Saccharomyces cerevisiae S288C: one gene and its partners. Changing the gene in region 3 together with the main gene of any one other region gives a genetic interaction. Each region holds a gene or a part of one and is shown on either strand. Other genes may lie near its edges. The genes, in order: ESC2, ROF1, UBX4 and NAB3.

Region 1 (3,459 bases), on a different chromosome or scaffold from region 3:
ATTGATGCAGTTACACTACCAATTCTTGCCCTTCAAATCACCTTAAAGGATGATGGCTTGAATTTTATTTTCTGCTGATCTCGTAATTTATACAACCTTTTAGCGTTGATATCATAATATTATGATGAAACGAATTATTTTAATTGACTGCTGTAGCAACAATAGAGAAGTAGTTTACCTCTTGTTCCAAGAAAACTATAGCCGAGGAAATATCAAATTGTTTTGATAGTTGTTCTACGTTAGATGTACTATTCAAACCTAGCACGAAAAAGCTGAAGAGATTTTTGTATTCATTAGGCGATCAAATTTTTATAGAAAAGCGTTAACATGTTGAGTTAGAGATGGAAAAATTCCTTTATAATATTTCACGGAAGGTAGAAGAGGGTCAGCACCTACTTTTTGAACAGAGAATTACCCGAGTATGATTTAAACACAAAAGGTCTTATTCAATTATATTCAGAAAATATTTTACAAGTACCGCAAGCACCACCAACACACCCGCCGCCCATAGTAAATAATAATTGTGGCACGTAAAGAGCCGGAGTTCGGCCTTTTTTAGCAAATTGCGCTCAATCAATAATGACATCAACCATGTCTTCATCTTCCATATCCTGATCGGCTATACACTCATTCATGTCCAATTCATCATGATCAAAAAGTAATTTAACCCTCGTCTTTTGTGGTAACTGTTTCTGGATTCTGTAATATTCGGCAATTTTAGAAAATGGTGTTGAACGCCTAACATGGACATAGATTTTTTTGTTATCTTGACCCATGAGAGCGATTCTCATAACTTCTTCCATGCTACTACTATTTCCTGACAAAGAGCCACCCTCTTGCAGAAGTTTTGTATTCATAACTGTATCATTTTCTTTTATTTCTTGTGTTTCTTCTACGTTTTTTAATTCGGATTCAAACTCGCGATATTCGGACTCTTCTTGTTCATTTCTCTTTTTCTCTAACTTCCTTTCCATCTCCTGACGTTCTTTTATGAGTAAAGCAGCTTCTTCTTCCTTTAACTTTGATTCCAGTGTCGCTTCAAAGTTCTTTTCGTATTCTTTGGATACGATAGTAACATCGATATCAGAGACTTCATTTTCAAAATCCTGTGGGATATGTAGCGAATTACAAGTCATAAAAGTGAGTAATTTTGCATTGTTCCAATAAAGAGTAACATTCTCTACCTTGTATATATCTTTCATTACCTTCGGAATTTTATAGGACTTCATCAATCCGTCCAAAGCAGCAGGAAGTATTTTTGAAAATTCGTATTTTCCGAGGACCTTCACTTGGACCGCTTTATTTATAGTTCCTTCTAGCTTAGAGAGAAATTTGATGTTATAAACTCGCTTCCGCTGGTCGGGTGTCGATTCTTTAGAAATAGTGGTGCTTTTTTTGGCTTCTTTAGCAAGTTCCTTGAAAAAGTCATCGTTTTCATCATAGGTATACAGTAATGAACTTTTCTGTCGCTTGTATTTTCCCGCTGGAGATATTGATCTTATGCTTGACCTGGACCTTGACCTAGATCTGGGAAAATTTTTGTCTTCGTCTAAGTCAGATTCAGATGAGTTTATTTCAACTACAGACTCTTTCATCACAGATCTTCCTCTAGTTCGACCCGATGGTTTGTCTGGCTTGGGCTCCGTAATATCTTCTATATTTACATTTTTACTAGATGATCTGCTCAGGGACTGATGTTGTTCCTTTGCGTCGCTATCTTCACTATCAGATAATGTTAGAGTTGAATGCTTTGATGGCGGTACCGTGACTTTAGAGTCAACTATGACACTTTGCCTATTACTTTCATCGCTATGATCGATTTCATCTATATCATAGGAATTGTCCATAAAGAAGTCATCGCTGTTTTCATCAGAAAAACTTGTATTATCTGGATCTAGATTAATTGAGGGTTCGCTGATGCTTCTGGAATCACCGGTCATCTGTTAACAGCCTAAAACAAATGATTTTTTCTCTTGCCTTTTATTGTTCAGGGCTATAATCCGTGTTCGCAATCACTTTAAAATGAATTCTGAAGTAATAATGAAAAGTTGTTCTATTTCAATTGCGATATACGCTGTCAAAGTGATATATGGTATTGGGAATTCATAGGCATGCTGGTCCCTCCTCTGCCTGTCATTTCTTTTCTTATATGCTACAATAAAATTTGCTGTCTTCTGTAAGGAAATAGAAGGGATTCAGTATCACCCGGAAAGCTGCGGTTCGAAAACCCTACGTTGCAAAAGAAGATAAACAACATTCCATTTTTTGTTCGAGAAAGCCTGGATGAGTTGTTAAAGCTTTGATTTCTACTCAGTAAGAGCAGTTTCATGTCCTAAAAACTAAAGCTAGTACTCTTTGATCCATTAGCGAAATTTCTCTAACTTGCTCCATTGCGATACGTGTAATAATATATTAAGTTGTGGCGATGGCAGTAATACCGGCAAAGAAAAGAGGAAGACCTAGAAAATCTGTGGTAGCAGAAGTTCCCTATGATAGCTTGGCAAGCCCAGTATCTGAAAACTCAGGCAGTAAAAGGCCGAGGAGAAACGCATCTAAGAAAGCAGTTGCAAATTTCGCACAATTAGTGCATGCTGGTCGCGATGATGTGATAAATACTACACAAGTCAATAATGTTGATGACACCGACGATGATGATTTTGTATTGAATGATGAAGGTGATGGTGAGGAAAGTGACAATGTTGAGATAGAATTTGAGAATGAGTTAGAGTCTACTAAAAATGAGGTGGCGGATTTAAACAGTAGTGGAAGTGGAGCTTCTGTTAGACCCAGTGGAAGAAGAAATACTGTACAGAAACTTCGTTTGAAGAAGAATTCGACTAAAAATATGAAGAGCAGCTCCCCAGGGTCAAGTCTAGGACAGAAGGGCCGTCCCATCAGGCTCCTAAAAGATCTTTCGAGTGCAAGAGACAAGATTGAAAGAATTTATGGACTGAATAAGGAAAAGTTATTGTTGCTAGCAAAAGTTAAGGAAGGCTTTGAAACTAGCGTTTTCGATTTCCCATTCAAGAATATTCAGCCTGATTCTCCATATTTTGTATGCTTAGATCCACCGTGTAAAAAGGAAAGTGCATATAATAAAGTCATAGGGGATAAAAACAGAACCGTATATCATGAAATTAATAAGACTGAATTTGAGAATATGATCAAATTGAGAACGAAGAGATTGAAGTTACTTATCGGGGAAGTTGATGCAGAGGTATCCACTGGCGATAAAATAGAGTTTCCGGTGCTTGCTAACGGCAAAAGGCGCGGCTTTATTTACAACGTAGGAGGATTGGTAACAGATATTGCATGGCTTAATATAGAGGAAAATACTGATATAGGCAAGGATATACAATATTTAGCCGTCGCGGTATCACAGTACATGGATGAGCCTTTGAACGAGCATTTAGAAATGTTTGACAAGGAGAAGCACTCCTCCTGTATACAAATTTTCAA
Region 2 (3,741 bases), on a different chromosome or scaffold from region 3:
TACTGCTATCATTTCTTCACTCCTGGAGGCAAACGGATATTCTATAGAAGAAATTGGATGAGGACAAAATGTGTTGTTGCAACTTTAACTACGTGAGAAAGGTGAAAGTAAGGTATTAGAAGAGAGGACACAAGAGTTATAATATCAGTAACTTTCGAAGTGGGTATCTCACATGGTTTTGATTGGGGTTCTCGATTGTTTTGCCCCCCTGGTTTATTCATTTTTCATAACAATGCCAAGAACCGTTTTTAGGTTTGATTTCTCAGTTCCCTTGCGTTTCTTTCTCTGGAAATTTCATGATAGAATTACAAATTTGGATATGCTTGTTAGTATATGATACAATGATGGAGGTGAAAATCAGATGGTCCTATAAATAGTTTTTCGAAATCCATCGATGGTAGGGAACAACAAGAACAAGCACCCTCCTGTTTTTTTAAAACCCTTTCTGAAAAACACACAATTGGCTGCCCTTTCTATGTAGTGAAGAATCCTTTTGGAATATGAGCGGTACTTTAGGTGAACCTTTCAGCAATTGAAAGGATGCTGATCTTCTACTTTGAGTATTGGTGGGATTTAGGATTGCTTGATGTGTTGTTTTTACTAAATGTTGGTGGATGTTGCATGCTGTCTGGCGCATGAATCATTTGGTATTGTGTTTGAGCCGGGGGATTCATACGAGGAGCTGGCAAAATATAAATGCCATCTAGGTTCTTGTTGGTTGTGGAGGTGGTTATGTTTACATTTGGAGGATTAATAGAATCTGTGACTGGTTTTGGTTGTCGGTAATCATGCACAAGTATATGGTGTACTGGGGGCATCATTGTTGGGGCGATAGGCGCCTTAGAGTGATTGCATTCAGGACCCGACCTCGAAGAGTATGGATCGATATTTTGGTATGGTATTGGGCTCAATGTATTGGAGGAGTATATCACTGAAGGCGACACGCCACGCCGTTCATAAGGTGCTGCAGTAGGTTGTTGCGGGAGAGTATTGTATGTATTGCAGAAAATCATAGGTTGTGAGACCGTACGTCTCAATCCAGGCTGATAGTTAGGATTGTAAACACCAATTGGTTGTGGCTGGTGCTGCATATACGGGAGAGGTAATTTATTCTGTTCATCTATGGGTAAGAGATATTGTTGCTGTTGTCGGTGCTGCTGTTGGTGCATTTCTCGAGGAGCGTTATTGAAGGTGGTTAAAGGTAACTGAACTGCGGTCCTAACTGGAATATTTCCAGGATGGTTGTTATAATTGCTCAAGAGATCACAATAGCTCGGAGAAGATGATAAAGACCTGCGCGTTTTATAATTATGAGCTTTGGTTCTGCCTCTCTCATTATTTTTAGACGGGTTAGATCTGCCATTTCCTACAGCAACTTTTTGTAAAGCATCTAATAGTTTCTGTGAAGGTCGAAATTTATGGAAGAAAGGATTTTCTGAAGGTCTCCTCAAACTTCCTTGATGAATATCCTTTTCCGTATAGTACGCAATAAGATGAAATGTTTCCAGCTTAGTGCTGTCGGTGGGATCCATATTGAATTTTAGAGAAAATGTTTTTTTCAGTAGTCCAGTATAAAAATACTTCCTATGAGCCCTCTCGAAGATATTATACTCAGGTACATTATGCAGCGGTAGATCGTGCGTGGAACCCAGCCTATTATACTCTCTATATACGAGAAATTTGCCTGAAATTCTTGAAGGAGACCAAGAAAAACCATCTGTCCATCTTTTGATGCCGGATTTCTCTTCGTTGAAAACAAAAATGTTTCCGGGGTTGACTAATTCAACCTTTTCTGCATCATATGGCCTCCGTTCGATGCATCTCAAATTTCCATTGAATACGCCCTGGAAAACAAGGGCTAGATCTTGCTCGTCGTCGATGTACCCATAACAGGTAGGGCTGATATCCATCATTCTTACGCTTACTCGTCGATCTCCTTTTCCTATCTATTGTTTGATTAATTATCTTAATTCGTGGTTCCCTTTTTTCTCGCTTTATTTGTTTGTTTTGTTGAAGAAGGGCTTACAAGAATGTACGTATTAAATAATAATTCATACAAATAAACAGGGAATGATACATAGTAGTTCTCCCGCAGCAGCTACGTATGAATTACCCGCCTACCCGGTACTATAAAGAAAGAATAAGTGGGCGTCGATTATGAAGATTTACTAACTGCAATTATCATTTTTTTGATTTTCCTCAGTCCCTTAGGTGCGTTTTTGTGTTAATGCCTATTTTTTTTTTCTAGGCTTTCTTCTTCACTTCCTCTTTCCTCTTGAATTTTGAGGAATATACGACCGAGAAAAAGACAGACTACTTAAAAAGTTGCCAGAGTGATTAAAGTTCCGGGAACAAGGCTAAAATACGTTTACAACATATTCTTCCTTTTTTTTCCACATAAAAAGGTTAATAGTCATAGTCATATGTTAGCGTGATTTCAACTTAAAATTAGAGATTATTAGATAATTTTTTTTTAAATGACGGCCAAGAAAGTGAAAGTCTAAAAGGAACGTTTATCGCTTAATTTCTCTCTGCCTCAGATTCATACGTTGTTAAGATCTTTAAAAGGATGGCCTTTGCAGGATACTGAGGTTTATGCTGGCGCGCCTGTGCGGATTTTCCAGATTCAAAAAGAAAGTTTTCTTTTTTTTTTACATGGGAACTGCGTAGCCGCGAAGCACTGCAGGCCTTTCAGAGCAATTTTTGGCGCTGCCTTTTAAAAACTTACATTAAGGTTCGCTATTGCCGAAACGGAAGAGGCGGAAATTTAAGTATTCGTTAATTTTACGGTGGCGGTACGGTATATTCTGCGTAAGCAATCTGCGGACGGCCGGATTATTAATCAATGTTTGAAAAAAAAAGATAGCAGAAGTGAAGATTTCTTATTTTAACAGCGATAAGGTATATACATGAGGGAAACGAAATATTAAGCGGCACAATATGTGTTTTTTCTATACAAGTACATTCCTTTTTACGTTAAGTATGTGGCGCCGGAAGGAAGTATGGTGCTTTTTTTTTCTTTAGGGCTTGTGCGTGTTCCGCTAGAAGCACATTTCTTTCTTCTTTGTCTGTATAACTACTGTTTCTTAGATCGATCAGTCTATCATCCCATACAACTGGTTCGAAATGACCGACCCTACGTGGAATGCTATTCAGTAGTTCCTGTAGTTCTGCATAGTATTCCAGGTCCTTTCCCTTTGGGAAGTTGTGCGTTCCGCAGGCATTAGAGTCGAAAGTTGTAGTTATCGGTAAGCTTTTACAGAATACTTCGACCATAATAGCCGCCTGTAGTTCCGACAACGGGAACGGGATGACCAACTGCGGGGTCAAGATAAAGGACAGCGTAGGATCTTTTACATAGATCATGTGCTCCCACAAATTGTGCAGATTGACAGACGAGTGCTTGTCGCCAGTAACACCCTCACCTAGCACTTCCAGTCTAACGGAGGGCTCTATAAATGGAAAGCTGTAATAATAGCCTGTGGCGAAAATAATGTAGTCTATATTCTGAAGTACTCTTCCATCAGATAAAGTAACTGAACGATTTTTCCAATCGGCACTGTCTATTGTTTGGACAGTCTCGATTAACTTGGCCTTCAGTTGATTGCTCGCAGGCTCTTTTATACTATTATATACTTTCTTTGCAACGGTAGTTAGTTGGTTGGCAATATCTTGGCCGGAACTGCCGTTTCCCACCACAATAACGACTTTTTCACGGGCAAACTCGCAGTTTTTGAAATC
Region 3 (3,788 bases):
AGTATTGTTCCAAATGACGGCAGAAAATGGTGAAATTTTGCCAGACAAAACTTTTTCTAAATTAATTGTGTCCACGTTCATGAAAAGCGGGGATTTAGAAGCAATACCTGCCATATTAACGTTTCTAACGAAAAAATTTGACTTGAATATTGATTACGATTTGAGTATGTATATTCTAAAGGGTTTGAAAAGACAATATTTACGAGATATTAGTAACATCAGTAAAGATGCTTGTGAGTACAAGTTACGGAAGGCGGAGCTAATGAATAATGAGTCAATCTTAAAAAACATTCCACAGGGTACAAATCAAGAGAATACAATATCCCATTTGATCAGGGAGATTTTGATCTTTATAAAATGGAAGGAAAAAAGTGATTGTTCTACTTTCTTGATGGTAGAAGATGCTTTTAAAGAATTAGGAACAGAGTTTACTTTACTCGAAGAATTAATAGAAGATGTAAATAAGTTAAAGATAAAAGCCTAAAAAAACGGATGCATTTTATATAATTTTAGCTATACGTGTACATATTTGTAATAAAGTTAAAAGAGGAGACTGTTTAGCTTTGTATTTATTTTTTACTTAATTTCATCCATTTAGGTACTCTATTTAAAGTCTTTTTGATACTTGTAGCGTTATCAGAAGGGCCCTGTGGATTGGATTTATTTATCGTATTAACTGATGGGGTTGTCCTCGTTTCGTGTGTGATTTTTTGTGCGTCTTCCAAAAGATGAGCCTTTATTAATGGGCCATTAGAATTTGAATTTGTTTCAAAAAGCAGCATTGTTTTAGAGCCAAATTCCAGGTCATCCAGTAGCTTCTTATCGTCTTTAGCCAAGGGTTTGAAAGGATGAGATTGGTTTAACGTAAAAGGCATGTTCTCATCGATCAGGAACTGCGACACGACGTTATAAACTGTACGCATGTCTTCATTGGGTTTGAATGCTATTTGAATATGGCTTCTATCGGGGAACTTGACTCTCAGCAAACACTCAGATATAGCCTTATTTTTCTTTGGCAAGTTGTTGGCTGATTGCTCTCTAAGTCTCTTTGTCAAAATAGGACCACCCAAAGTACCAGCCTTCGATGATAACATTTTTTGGTATTTCTTGGCTTGTTCTACTGTCAATTCATAATCTTCTTCATCCTCGATTTGATCCTTGATAACTGCTAATGGCTCATCCGAGGGCAAAAACACAGAAGGTTTATGTAGTTCGTGAGGTGGTAGTGAAGCAACCGTTTCCGGGTTCGTCATCGTAGGGGGAGTTTGTTTTGGGTGAATAGCGCTATTAGCGCTAATGCCCTCAGAATGAGATGTATTATTAAAAATCAATCTAACTGACGAAGGCTCCTGAATCCCTAAATTTTCGAGAGTCAAATTCTCATCCTTAATTGTTTTGAACTCTATTATCTTGGAAAAGACCTGGATCTTAAAATCATCTCCCGCAGCGCCGCTCATCTGTCGCAAGATAGGGGCAATTGGTTGGTCAGATGGCATTTCTTTAACCACGGAATCTCTTCCTGGGATTTGAAACCGTATTTTGATCGTATTGAATGGAATATCTTCGCGGTTGGTCTTATTCGCCACCGGAAAATTACTACTTTTAGATAATTCTAAGTTGACACCCGTTGGTAAGTTTAGAAGCCTCCATGGCAAATCTAATGGCACCGGTTTATCCAAATGTATCAATGACCAGTCGTTTGACGAGGTGTGCAGTTGAAAGAATTGTATGGATTGGTGTAACACATCGTTTAGTGTTGAATTCAACGAAACTTTACATTTGAAAAGTTGGAAGTTATACTTCACGGTAACCATAGGCATTGTATTGTGCGCTTATTAGTCTGCCTTGCTATTCTTCGCAGTACGTAGATTTATCTTAGTTTTTGCATTTTTTGGTTTTCTTTTTTTTTTGCCACACATAGTACAATAAAAGAGAACTTGAATCTTTGAAGAAACGTCTAAATTAACATCGAAGATAGAAGACAGGGAAACATCTAGGATTGCAAGAAATAGTGCTGAAATTTTGTAATAAAGTTGCAAGAAATAGCATCTAGCGTTTTATAAGGCGTACATCTTTCTTGGCAAGAGTTCCAAGAGAAAAGAGGAGCAAAACAGCGGTTGAGGCGCCCGCTATCTTGAATATTATACAGTTTCTTTAAAAACGCTTGTACAACACTGCATAAACATGGACAAATTATTGAAATTGTTTCAAGATATTTCCCATATCATATTCCAATAGCGTTACTCTCTCATCGCTTATTCTGGAATCATTATTTTAATAAAGATAACTCACACGATATACGTGTACTGAGCTGACCTTTATACCTACCCTTACCTGCTTATTCCTGATAAAAATGTTCGTGCAACTAATTGTTTGATTTCTCTTGCGGCCCGGTTATTCCGGAGTTGATACTTTTTTTCTTCTGTCTTAATTACGTTTTTTTCCTCTAGACTTTTTTGATCTGGTACAATTGAAAATGTATAAATCAACTGGACCCTAAAAATAAAAAAAAAAAACGCCCATTAGAAAAGAGGATATATTGAACAAAAGATGTTGAAAGAGCCCTCAGTTCGCTTGCGGGAGGCTATTATTGAAGGCAATTTACTTATAGTGAAAAGATTATTGCGACGGAATCCGGATTTGCTAACCAACATAGACTCAGAGAACGGATGGAGTTCATTACATTACGCCTCATACCATGGAAGATACCTTATATGCGTGTATTTAATTCAGCTGGGGCACGACAAGCATGAACTAATAAAAACCTTTAAAGGAAACACCTGTGTGCATTTAGCATTAATGAAAGGGCACGAGCAAACCTTACATTTACTTTTGCAACAATTTCCGCGATTTATCAACCATCGCGGAGAGAATGGTAGAGCCCCCATCCATATAGCATGTATGAACGATTACTACCAATGTCTGAGTCTGTTGATAGGAGTTGGTGCTGATTTATGGGTAATGGACACTAATGGCGACACGCCGCTGCATGTATGCCTGGAGTATGGCAGTATAAGTTGTATGAAGATGCTTCTCAATGAAGGTGAGGTGTCCTTGGATGATAATGTCAGGGACAAGGGAAATTGGAAGCCAATAGATGTAGCACAAACGTTTGAAGTAGGTAATATATATTCAAAAGTGTTAAAAGAGGTGAAAAAGAAGGGGCCACCGTTGGGTGCAGGCAAAAAACCAAGTTCATTCAGAACTCCTATACTAAATGCGAAGGCCACTTTCGAGGACGGGCCTTCCCCAGTTTTAAGCATGAATTCGCCATATTCGCTCTATTCCAATAATAGTCCGTTGCCGGTATTACCAAGAAGGATATCAACGCATACAACAAGCGGTAACGGTGGGAATCGGAGGAGTTCTATCACAAATCCAGTATTCAACCCACGAAAACCAACCTTGTCTACGGACAGTTTTTCGTCAAGCTCAAATTCCAGCTCGAGACTAAGAGTGAACTCCATCAACGTCAAGACTCCAGTAGGTGTGTCGCCCAAGAAAGAGCTTGTATCTGAATCAGTACGACACAGTGCAACACCAACAAGTCCGCACAACAACATCGCGTTGATTAATAGATACTTGTTGCCTAACAAGAGCAATGACAACGTGAGAGGAGACTCACAGACAGCTACAATCAACGATGACGGTGGCGGCGGCAATGGCGGTGATGCCACTATAGGAATGGGACTAAGAAAGGACCCGGACGATGAGAACGAGAACAAGTACAAGATTAAGGTAAACAATGGCGAGCCGAGGAGACGAGTGTCACTTCTGAACATACCCAT
Region 4 (4,599 bases), on a different chromosome or scaffold from region 3:
AAACTAAAATAAACGACAGGCAGATGACTAAAACAAATCAAACAAGAACCTCTAGGGAAAGGTGTCCTAAGCGCGGAACTTCTTTTCGTTATGGGGTAAATAGAGCGGTACTTAATAATCTGTTTACAAAGCAATTTTACAAAGTTTTGATATAAGAACATTTAACTAAAGAGAAGAAAAAGAAATGAAAAGCCATTCTCTTGGCAGAGGAAACAAATGAAGAGGTGCGTGTAAGTGAAATAAATAGACCAAATAGCATTTGATAAGGAAGAAATAAAAGAAATTTATAACAGGGTAAAGAGTTTTTCGTTCTGAAAGAGATGCAGCAATAGTAAGAATTAAGTCCTAGTCCAATTTGGGAAGGGAAAACGATTAAAGCATAAACCGCTATGTCGAATTTATGCAAACCATATCAATCTACTTTCCTTAAAAATTTTTCGTCCAATTAAAAGAATTCAAGTATAATGTACAAGAAATGGAAAAGATTGAAAAAAGGGAGTCTATTTTTGTAGTTTTGCTAAACTATCTAATAGACTTTGAACATTATTGCCAGCAGGTTGCTGTTGCTGTTGCTGTTGCTGTTGTTGTTGTTGTTGTTGTTGTTGAGGTGGCGGAGGTTGGTGTGACATTGGTGGGGCAGAGGGTTTTGCAGATATATTTTGACCATTGTAATTGGTACTCATAGGAGGGGGAGAGGATGAGTTCATAGAGGAATATCCACCCAACTGTTGTTGCTGTTGTTGAGGAGCCTGGCCTTGCATTGATTGTATTAAACCAACCAATTGCTGCTGAGCATGAGGTTGTTGTTGCTGTTGTTGGGCCATTGAAAGCAAATTCGATACAACGTTAGGTGGAAGGTTTTGAATGGCAGATAATAGTTGTTGCTGGTCCATTGGAGTTTGAGAAGGTGGTTGAGGAGGCGGACCAGCCTGATAACGACCATACCCTTGAGGAATTTGTTGTTGTGGAGGTGGTGGTGGAATAGAAGTCTGGTAGCGACCGTAGCTCTGATTCATTGGAATTGGAGGTTGAGAACCATATCCTTGGTCATGGGATGGTGGTGGCATCCCATAATTACCATATGGCTGTTGCTGTTGTTGTTGTGGAGGAGGCATACTGTAACCCTGGTAATAGTTTGTTTGAGGAGGAGGTCCGACAGCTGGGCCGTTTGGAACAGGAAGAGGAGGAGCGCCATATATGTTTTGCTGATGGCTCATAGCACGGTAATCAGTAGGACGAGAATTATTTCTGTTGTTTTTGATGTTATTAAAAATGGCAACTGCGTCATCAGCGGATATGCTAATATATTCATCAAATTTCGTTTCACCTTGTGAGCCTTTGTAGAAAGTTTGAACATCTACATTGTGTGTTTTATTAACTAAAACAACGCCCCACACCCCATTATATGCGGCATCATTGATAAGCTTTCCCAGTTCCATTCTTGGTTTCAAGAAAATCATATCAGTTTCCAAACCAGTCCCGTCCCTAAACCTGTTGAAAACCTCAATGGCATACGTACGATCTGCGGTTCTTTTAACGAAAATGTTGCAAGAAACGGTGTGTCTTCTGGATTTCTTGTAGCCAGCACCATTGTCGTCATTGTACATGTCACCAGATTCAGTTTGAAATGGTCGTTTTGCGGAAGAAATAAAAGTAGAACTACTGTTTGTACCGTGATCACCATGATCAAATTGAGGACGAGCATTCGAGCTAGAAACTTCCAGGATCAACTTTTTGCCAAAGTTCATTTCTTGAGACTCGCATTCAATTGCATCTCTAACGCTTTGAGGGTTGTCAAACTGAATGAATCCAAAGGCATTTTTGATATTGATTTGCATGATATGACCGTATGGAGAGAAAATCCTAAATAAATCCTCCTTAGAAACGTTCTTTAGCGGCAAATTACCAATGAATAATCTTGACTTCGGAGGAATATTGTGCATCTCGGTGATTTTATTTTCACCGTGCAAATAGGCTGCATAACGGTCGTGTTCTTCTTCGGTAATCGGCTTAGATAAATCCGCCCTAGGAAATCTCATACGTCTTTGGGCATCTGACAATGGAGGTTTTCTTTGATCATTGCTTCTTGCGCCGCTTGTGGCTGAGGCGCTAGCTGTTGTTGAGATAGTACTATCATGAGGAGGTACGGAAAGAGCTGTGTCAGAATTTGAATTTAACATTGCTAAAATCGCAGACATCTTTTCTTCTTGAGGTAAATGTTGAAACTGAGGCAAATTTAGCATGTTACTGTCCATAATGTACTTGACTTGCTTTTGTAAAAGATCGTAATTAACATTTTCCATATTAGTTGGAAAGTGAGTATTATCATTTTCTTCACGAGTTATTTTTTTTATAGCTTCATCTACGTCCTTTTGTTCTTTTTCCAATGTTTCACGGCGAAGTTCGACCTCTTTATCTTTGGTTTTATCCTTTTTGTCTTCCTCATCCTCACCGTCTTCAGCGGCACTATCTGAGCCTACCGAACTGTTGTCGTTGCCTTCTTCTTCTTCTTCTTCTTCTTCTTCTTCATCATCATCGTCGTCATCATCATCATCGTCATCATCCTCTTCTTCCTCTTCTTCCTCTTCATTATCATCATCGTCATCATCATTTCCGCCTTTTTGTTGATGTTCTTCTTCTTCTTCTTCTTCTGTGTTTATTACTTCCCCGTTTTCCTCTCCTTTTTCCTCCTTATCTTCCTCCTCTTCATCGTTCACATCTTCCAGTTCGTGTTGTTCTTCATTTTCCTCCTCCCTTTCGGCTTCTCTTTCTTCCTCTGGGGCGTCAAATTCGATTCCATCGTCTGCGCTTGAGTTATTCATCAATTCATTCTCGTTAGAGTTACTATCGACGGATAGTTCAGGTGAAGGAATATCTTGAACATCACTGTTATGGTTTTCATCTGACATGGCTTGCAGATGGTTATTATATTATGAAAGGACAGTCCGGGAAAAACGTAAGTCAATTATTATATTTTGACCAAAGAAAATCGCTTGTTGCTGTGCAGAATCTAATAAAGATGCTCAAGATAGCTTTTATTAGACCTTCATTTAGAAGTGGCAAAATCAAATGAATTGTTTTTTGTCCTTTGCTTCTTCCGCTTCATTTTCTCTTCAACAATTCAGGGTTACACTCAATCACGTGGGATACCATAATTTATCGTTCTACAAAAAAATGCAAGCACGAACTAGGGCGGTAGTTAGGAAGCGAATAAGAATAGCGCTTTTTCGTTTCAATTTGGAATATTAAAGAGTGATATTATTAATGGTTTTCTTTTTTGGAATGTGATCTATATACATATTTAAATAGTCTCTTTTGTATTTGTGGTGTCATAATGAAACTGCATCACACCAGATGCTTACCCATACAGAAAGTCGATTGATTATGAAACTTGAAGTAGCGAAGATTACGGCACTCGAAAATAAATAAAAAGAGGAAATAAAAGAGATAGAATACAACTTATCAAAAGTTCCAGATAGCCCGTACCTGTTTAAATCTTTTTACTTAAAGCATCCTTCCTCTTTAACTCCTGCTCATGAGCAAGCTGAAGCTTGTGTTGCTGTACAGCTGGTGAATCAGAATCCACTGAATGTGCTGGACATGGCAGCACAGAACCGATGGCCACTGATGCGAATGCAATGAGAAATGTAGAAAAGTATAGGTTATTGACTATTTTGTTTCTAGTGACTGCTCTCATGATATGTGTCTGAATTAAACTAATTGGCCTTCCGTGCCTGTAAATTCAATAAATAAATAGGATGTTAAATTTTCCTAATGTGTCTCGAGGTGCTTATGTTATCGTGCAAGCGCTGAGTTCGAAACGCTGTTTTGATGAATATCCTATATATATCAAAAGTACAAACACGGGGAAAGAGAGCCATCCCATCAAAAAAAATAAAAAAAGAAAACCCTTGCAGAAGGAGAACTGGTGTAGAGGTTTCCGGTCTTAATGGACTTAAGCACGTGACTTTTAAAACCCATGCATCGGTTACTATGGTTACCATTACTTACGATTTTTTTTTTTTCGTTATGAACCCTGTGCCCGAGGGGTTTTCAGGCACATAGATCAAAGTTCTACTCGTTTACCTGTAATCTTGGCGCGTTTAGGTCTCTTTTTTTTTCTTTTTTTTTTCTTCTTTTTTCATTTGTACTGCGTTATAGTTGTTTATGGAAGGTACCAATGGTGAATATGGAAAAAATGAAGTCAAATAGAAGAAGAAAGAGAAGCTAGCTTTGAGGTAGGTACTGTTTTGAGGGTTTTTGGGTGCTTCAAATTTGTCTTCTCAACTACCTTATTATAGGGCTCAAAAATAATTGACGTCATCGCTACAAGTCAGATGTCGATGTTAAGAATCTGGAGTTGCATCGTACATTTCTTTTCCGTGCAGGCACTTGATTCACGAATAAAGCCAGACATTGAATTCAAAAGGCGACAAAGGATATTTATCAATTCATCTAAAGAAGAGAATGGTTCATCTTCTAGTGCCGTTACTGTTACCCGTAACCCTGTGCTCAGCTCTAATAGCCCATCTCCTCCGCTATGGAATACATGGGAATTTAGACTATATTATTTGGCGTTCACCGTAGTAGTTCCTTTCA

What was found.
Region 1: mutations in UBX4 (region 3) and ESC2 together harm fitness more than expected from each alone (negative genetic interaction), as found in Saccharomyces cerevisiae (3 studies listed by BioGRID).
Region 2: mutations in UBX4 (region 3) and ROF1 together harm fitness less than expected from each alone (positive genetic interaction), as found in Saccharomyces cerevisiae (one large-scale study listed by BioGRID).
Region 4: mutations in UBX4 (region 3) and NAB3 together harm fitness more than expected from each alone (negative genetic interaction), as found in Saccharomyces cerevisiae (2 studies listed by BioGRID).

The regions. Positions count from the first base shown.
Region 1 is NC_001136.10:1,197,664-1,201,122, reverse strand, and holds ESC2 (Esc2p), read right to left. Parts: upstream 1,941-3,459; coding exon 570-1,940; downstream 1-569. Other genes in the region: transcription factor TFIIIC subunit TFC6, read left to right, coding at 2,426-3,459. UniProt on the Saccharomyces cerevisiae protein: May be a substrate targeting component of a cullin-RING-based E3 ubiquitin-protein ligase complex RTT101(MMS1-ESC2). Involved in HMR and telomere silencing via the recruitment or stabilizing of the SIR (silent information regulators) complex.
Region 2 is NC_001140.6:454,763-458,503, reverse strand, and holds ROF1 (Rof1p), read right to left. Parts: upstream 1,914-3,741; coding exon 552-1,913; downstream 1-551. Other genes in the region: FMO1 (N,N-dimethylaniline monooxygenase), read right to left, coding at 2,977-3,741.
Region 3 is NC_001145.3:403,754-407,541, forward strand, and holds UBX4 (Ubx4p), read right to left. Parts: upstream 1,821-3,788; coding exon 570-1,820; downstream 1-569. Other genes in the region: SOV1 (Sov1p), read left to right, coding at 1-484; AVO2 (Avo2p), read left to right, coding at 2,551-3,788. UniProt on the Saccharomyces cerevisiae protein: Involved in CDC48-dependent protein degradation through the ubiquitin/proteasome pathway.
Region 4 is NC_001148.4:184,817-189,415, forward strand, and holds NAB3 (Nab3p), read right to left. Parts: upstream 2,910-4,599; coding exon 501-2,909; downstream 1-500. Other genes in the region: COA2 (Coa2p), read right to left, coding at 3,491-3,697; GUP2 (putative O-acyltransferase), read left to right, coding at 4,338-4,599. UniProt on the Saccharomyces cerevisiae protein: May be required for packaging pre-mRNAs into ribonucleoprotein structures amenable to efficient nuclear RNA processing. Binds to poly(A)+ RNA. Appears to act in the maintenance of CLN3 mRNA levels.